Sus scrofa: one gene and its partner. The protein of the gene in region 1 interacts with the protein of each later gene in a biochemical or structural test. Links are inferred from orthologs where the notes say so. Each region holds a gene or a part of one and is shown on either strand. Other genes may lie near its edges.

Region 1 (3,650 bases):
TCTTGGCATTCTTTGTCTCAGAATGGTTGACTATACTGTCACTGCCACTCTCTGTTTTGTTTCTGAGAAAGCAGAAATTTACTACCCCTACCCTTAACTCTATGTCTTCTCAGTTCTGTTCTTATGTTTTGGTGTTGTTTGCTGATTTATTTATTAGCTCTAAGGATAAAAGGAAGAAAGCTTCTTGGAAAATATTCAATGTTTAACATTTATCTTGCAAATGACCTCTCATTTTATTTCATTGGTATTTCCCTTCCCCCAAACCAGACACATAATGAAACACTTCTATACACTTTAAAGTTTAAACAAGGTTCTGTTTAATGACCCTGGGCATGTCACAGAATTCTCTGAGTTTCTTTCCACTCTACAAAAAAATGAGATGGAGGGAAGAGACCAGTGAGCCAAACCCAGAACTACAAAATCAGACTACATAAGGCTGGAAGTTATAGGTCTGTCTTTTCCAAAGACCTGATTTATGCCCACATTTATAGGGGGAACCATAGTATAGGGGATCTCTATGGTTCCTTACAGCTCTCATGGTCAATGATTCTGTGACTCAAAATTCAAATTTTCCAAAAGGAAACCTCAGCACAAAACACTTAAGTTAAAACTAACAGAGTTCCTGCAGTGGCACAGTGGGTTAAGAATCTGACTGTAGTGGCTCAGGCCACTATGGAGATGTGGGTTCAATTCACTGGCCAGGCACAATGGATTAAAAGATCTGGCATTGCCTCAGCTGCGGTATAGGTTTCAGCTGTGGATCAGATTCAATTCCTGGCACAGAAAATTCCACATGCTGCAGGTACAGCCATAAAGTTAAACAAACAAACAACCCCCCAAAAACCAACAGCTCAATTTCAATGTATGAAATATATGGTCATTTACAAAAAAACAAATATAGTTGATTCACAATATTTTGTAACTGAATCACTTTGCTGTAACTGAATCACTTTGCTGTGATTCAGTTACAAAATTTTTTTTTCAGATTATACTCCATTATAGGCTATTACAAACTACTGAATATAATTCTCTGTGCAATACAGTAAATCCTCATTGTTTATCTATTTTATGCATAGTAGTTTGTATTTATTAAACCTATACTCCAAATATGTCCTTCCTCTCTCCCTCTCCCATTTTGGTAACTGTAAGTTTGCTTTCTATGTCTATGAATCTGTTTGTTTTGTATATAATTCATTTGTATTACTTTTTTATTTTAATTTTATTTTATTTTTTATTATTATTTTTTTTTTTGGTCTTTCCTAGGGCTGCACCCATGGCATATGGAGGTTCCCAGGCTAGGGGTCTAATCGGAACTGTAGCCGCTGGCCTACACCACAGCTCACAGCAACGCCAGATCCTTAACGCACTAAGCAAGGCCAGGGATGGAACCTGCAACCTCATGGTTCCTAGTCGGATTCCTTAACCACTGAGCCACGATGGGAACTCCGTGTATGACTTTTTTAAGAACAAGTGATTGAATAATATTCCATTGTATATACATACCAATATATGTCATTTTAAAAAACAAAGCAGAAATATTATAGGAACAAATTTATCACAATTCATTGGAAGAACCAATAATCTTATTTTTCAAGTTTATTTAAATATATAGCCTTTCTTATCCTCTTCTTTCAGCTGTCCCTCACCCTGGGCTCAAATACAAGAAATATTCCAAGGCTAAAAAGTATTGCTGATTATATACCTTGTAATTACTAGATTATTTAAATGAATTAGCTTTCCAATTTATGTAGTCATAATTTATACTGATCCTTCCAAAATTAGTGAGTTTCAAGGTCCTGTAGTATCAATAATGTAATAAGAACCATAAACCTCAATTTATACAATAATACCTCCTGTGAAATTTCAATGGAAAATGAGGAAATTTTTAATATATTCACCCACCTGCATCATTTAGCCACTTCTCCAGAAGTGGCTTTAACTTGCACATGTTCTTAAAGCTGAGGTTCAAGGCTTCAAAACGAGAGATGGTAGTTTGGCTGAAGTCATTTCCATACAGTTTACCCATAGCAAGCCCAACATCGCCCTGCAGAGTAATATAGAGCAGGAGAGGGAAGAGGAAGAGAGAAAGAAAAGACTCATCTCACTAAAGTTTACAGCCTTCACTCCAGGGTGCTACTCCAATAACTGTTCTAGACAAAGAATCAACACATTCCACTTAGTGAGTCCCACAAAATCCACCCCTAAACTAAGCACAATATTGTAGTGAAGACTGTTGGGCCTTGATCATGACAATATTCACAACCGTCCCATAATCTATCTTGAATCTCTTTCTTGCTACCTTTATAATAACTGAGATATCAAATGTTTCCACCAACTCTCAAAAAATAGTGCTGATATTCTACCAAATCCGTTAATTGATGCAACCAGAGTGAGTTATGTAATTTTTAAAAATCAGTTCATCTCTATCACCACAGGGTTAAAACATGTAACTGTCTAGATAAACTTAGGTGTTTCTGAACTAACCAAACTTCCCATAAATCACTTTAAATGCCTCATCCTTTTATTTTATTTTCTTGTAAAGTATTTCTGGAAGCAGTAAAAAAAAAAAAAAAAAAAAAAAAAAAAAATCTTTCCACCCTTAGTTTGGATTTCAAAGTTTGTTACAAAAACCAGGTATTCTAAAAAGACTACTTTTGTAACCATTATAGAGACAGAAATTCACAGTAGAGAGGTTTGACCCATTTAGTCAAACCTTTATGGGTACTGGAAACGTGGTAACCTTATAGCAATAGAACAATGATCCCCTGAATATATTACAAAAAAATATCTTTCTCTGTAAGCCTATAACCTTTGAAACGTATACAGTGCTTTTCCTCCATGTGAATCTCTCTTGCTAAAGCTGGAAAAGCCATATTTGAATCATTATTGTATGTATAGGTAATAGAAGCTCATGGAGTGAAAATAATTCATGGTCTTATTTCAATTAGTTTAGGGACGGCAGAAAGGCAACATTTCTGGTCCAAAATACTACATAGCTAATCTTACCAAGGACAGCCAACTCCCATATCCTGGCAACATCCATTTTGAATTAGGATTACCAGAGTCCTTTGATTTCTCTTGCTTAAATTCATCTTTTTTTTTTTTTAATTTACCTTCTTTTATTTTATTTTATTGGCTATGCCCATGGCATGTGGAAGCTCCTGATCCAGGGATTGAACCTGTGCCACAGCAGTGATCCAAGTCACTGCAATGACAATGCCAGATCCTCAACCCACTGCACCACAAGGGAACTCCTATAATCCATCTTTTGGATAGTACAGTACTTATTAGCACCTGATTACGTGGCAGTCAGGGAAATGAAAAAACATTTCTTTTTAAACTCTATTTTCTTACTGGTGAGTTACTTCTGACAAAAAGTTTAAGAAGGGAAATGTTGCAACTAGAAGATAAAATGAGGCACCAAGAGTACTTGAACCCCAGCTGAACTGATCTATATTCTAATCTTTCCCATAGGATAGCCACCAGCCACATATGGCTATTTAAATTTAAATTAATTCAAATCAGATAAATTAAATATTCAGTTCCTCAGAAGCCCTAGCTGCCTTTTAAGTTATTCAATAGTCACATGTAGATAGTAGTAGCTATTGTACTGGACAGCACAATTACATAACAGTTCCATTACCTCAGAA
Region 2 (3,507 bases), on another chromosome or scaffold:
TAAATCATCTGAGTAAGGAGAGGCTGCCTCTGGCAAGCGTCCCCATGCAAATATCACCTGGTCTCCCATTCAGTAAAAACTGAGACTCCTCACTGAGACTCCTGCATATGAGGCAGTGGGGGAGACTTAGGACAGAGAGGCAGGAGCATAAGCCATGACAAAAGAGACCAGAGCCTTTGGGGGAAAGATATTTGAAGTCATCAGAAATGAAAGCAGGCCTCCCTGGAGGATGGGGTGGGCTTGGAGGACCTGATTTTCCTGGGAATCCACAGCAAGGAACATCAGGGAGCAGGAAGTCAGCCCTGTGCTTAGAGGGTTCCCTCACAGGGGTGGGTGCAGAAAGGCCTTCGTGTGACATACCGTGACATTGGTGATGAGCGGCTGGGAGGCGTAGGTCAGCACAGAGGAGGGCCCCACCACCGTGTAGCTGGGACACACGGGCTGCACATACATGTCAGCTGAGTAGGGGCAGCTGACAGCCTCGTGGGACACGTACTCAGTGTAGGGCGTCCACGGGGCTAGGGGCTGGAGAGCGGCCGGGGCGGGCTGGGAGAGCCAGCCGGTGCACAGCGCCCCCTCCTCCGTCACTGTGGAAGCAGAGACCTCCATGTCGAGGCAGGAGGGACCTGTGGGAAGAAGGAAGTTCCAGAGTGGCAGGTGTCACATGGGTGGGGGCGGAGGGCTTGGAGAAGGCCAGGGCGGCGGGGAGCTCTTACCCACTGTGGTGTAGGTCGCCAGGGGCTGATGGGGCAGCACCACCTAGAGGGGAGAAGGGAGGACCAAGCTCAGGGTTCAGCACTTCGGGCAGGCCCTCTGGGGGAAGCTGCCCAGGGGGCCTCCCCAGGGCAGGGGGCGCTGGGGTGGTGGTGGGAACCTCCCTTGTTAGAACTAACCCGCCCAGTGTCCCAGCCATCACCACCTGTACTTTCAAGGGACTGGTCTCCATTTAGCAAGGAGGCTGTGCACTTGGGGAACAGTGCCATCACCTTCCAGGGGAGCCGGCAACCCCCACAGGGCCTGTGAGACACTTGCTCATCCGCCCTGGTAACGGCCCCCTTCCAGCAGCTACGAGTGGCCTCTGCGCCCTTGTTGAGGATCCCATGGGGCAGGGACCTACACTCCCGCCCAACTCCTCTCATCACCCTCCCACCCCCGCCCCCGACACACACACACACACACACACACACACACACACACACACTCGGGCCACTGCAGTCCCTCACCGCGGTTGGTGCCACAGGTGCCCCGCTGCTGGCATGGCCTCGTTTCCTCCGCAGCAGCTCTTTGACCGGCTCCTTCACGCGCACACCCTGGTACGGCCGGGGTGGTGCCGGGGCCTGCTCTGGAGCTGCGGCTGTGAAGAGAGGGGCACTGGATCTCATCTCTCCTCCCAGCCAGCCCCCACCCCAATGTGCTCGCTCTCCTCCAGGGTCTGCCGGCTCATCAAAGCTGGGCCTGAAGGCACAGGAACCCGCCAGACTTCCCGGGCTATTCCTCCCAGGGTTATCATTTCTCCTGCCTCCAACCTTCTAGGGCTCCCTTCTACCCAGACGATTAAGGCCCAAGTGCACTAGTATGATCTCAACCCACATACCCAACCCCTCTGTACACTAACCCTTACGCAAGGCCTGACTCCCACCAGAAGGTCTATCTAGACGCCTCTCCATCTTCCTCGACTCTTTCCCCTCCTTATCCTTACTGGTTATTTCCCACTGTCAGGATTCCCCCTCACTTATCTCACCCTCTTGAGTCTTCCTGACCCAAGTCTAGTGCACCCCCCAGCTGACCACTGCAGTCCACAGAATTTGCTTCAGCCTGCTGCCTCTTCAACACTTCCAGGCTTATTAGCATTCATCAGAGGGGGCAGCAGAGGGCGGCACAAGAGCAGGGACTCTGAGTCAGATGCCACAGGCCTCAAAACCCGCCCCTGCCACATCCTGGCTGTGTGATTCTGGGTGAGTTACTAAATCTCTCTGTGCTCCTTAACCTGCAGTTTCCTATCAAAGGGGTGTCATAAGGAGTCCCTGACATAGCACATGGGAAGCATGATACATGCTTAGTATAAAATCAGGTACAGAGGAAGCTTTCAAGACATTTGAAGTCTGCTGTATAATAGTTGATAATCCTTTTTGCCGTAAATTTCTTATACCCCTATAACCAGATTACAAACTCCTCGGGGGGAAAGATTATACCTTATTTCTCTGTATCCTTCCACGCGGCATGTTCATTATGAACTCAGTAAGTTCTTTATTGATTAATTTGGTTGGATGATGATTCATTCATCTTCCCTTCACCCCTCCCGGACCTTTAGACTGGGCTGCAGTGAATGGTTTCCAGGTTCTCTGTGGCTCCCAGGACATAGGACAAATACCCACTGGTGATTCGTGTGCCCTGGGCCAAAGTCCAGGCTTGCTGCTGAGAGAAGTTTCCTTTGCTTTCTATCATCAATGCCAGGAAACCAAAGCACCATGAGCTGGAACCCAGGGCTCTCCCTGGCCAGGAGAGCAAGCCAAAAGCAGCCATGGCTGGGCAATGAGAGTCTGCCCTCCCAGACGGCTCACAGCCTGCAGCCTCAGGCCCTTGGAGGGCAGGCCTGGGTCAGCCACGAGAGGTGAGTAGCGCTGGGCCTTACGACTCACACTGGGAGTCTACTATCATCCACTGATAAGGCCCAGGGGCTCGGGCTCTGCATCAAAAGCCCAGAAGCCTAGGTATTTATTAAACCCGGATCCACAGTGCTGCCCTAACTGAACTTTGTTCAGTAAATACCCAGCTGATAAGACCCCAGGCCTGACTAGCACCAGATCTCCATCCATGCTCTGGGCACACACATGGCCTGTCCTCGAAGCCCAGGCAGAAAAGCAGGGGAAGAGGGAGGGGGTGTCCAAGAGCCTCGGGAACATATGACACAGAAGCCAAGAACCCCAGACTCAGATGCATTCACAGAGGTTCCTAGTCTGACCAAGCTGCAGGAGCAATGAGGGAGTGATGCAAAATACAGATGCCCAGGCCCCACTCCCAGAAAGTCTGATTCCTGGGGTCTGATGTGGGCTTATGGATCCACATCAAAATCCCTCAGGTGATTCTGAAACTCTGCTGGAATGAGACCCACTGCTAATTCAACCCTGATCTCCCCCTAACATCCCAAGAGGAGATTAACCTCTCCTGTCCTAAGAAGGGCGCTTGCCTGGTATTCCTTCATTCTCTCAAATATGGCAGGGCGCTGGGAAGCCAGCACTGAGCAAGACACACCTGCCTGCACGCATCTTGCCATCTGGTGGGAGAGGCAAGAATAGAACAGTTACAACTTGAGATTCAGGCTGAAGCGGTAGTGGGTCACAGAGAGAACCAGCCTGGTACCCGTGCCCTGGGACCACTTATGCACCATCAACTTCATTTAAGCATCAGTGACGATGGACTTAAGAGCTAACAATACCTGTATTTAAATCTGGGTGGTCAGTGTTTGGTGAAAAAGTCTCAGTTGATCTATTTTATATCCCTAGGCCT

What was found.
Region 2: the proteins of POU2F1 (region 1) and POU2AF1 are reported together in a solved structure, tested with the Homo sapiens proteins (2 studies listed by BioGRID, with this or other methods). The link is inferred for Sus scrofa from reciprocal best matches to the Homo sapiens genes POU2F1 and POU2AF1.

What each region holds. Positions count from the first base shown.
Region 1 is NC_010446.5:83,622,850-83,626,499, forward strand, and holds part of POU2F1 (POU domain, class 2, transcription factor 1), read right to left. Parts: intron 2,045-3,650; coding exon 1,903-2,044; intron 1-1,902. UniProt on the Homo sapiens protein: Transcription factor that binds to the octamer motif (5'-ATTTGCAT-3') and activates the promoters of the genes for some small nuclear RNAs (snRNA) and of genes such as those for histone H2B and immunoglobulins.
Region 2 is NC_010451.4:39,124,147-39,127,653, forward strand, and holds part of POU2AF1 (POU domain class 2-associating factor 1), read right to left. Parts: intron 1,355-3,507; coding exon 1,224-1,354; intron 760-1,223; coding exon 717-759; intron 627-716; coding exon 361-626; intron 1-360. UniProt on the Homo sapiens protein: Transcriptional coactivator that specifically associates with either POU2F1/OCT1 or POU2F2/OCT2. It boosts the POU2F1/OCT1 mediated promoter activity and to a lesser extent, that of POU2F2/OCT2. It recognizes the POU domains of POU2F1/OCT1 and POU2F2/OCT2.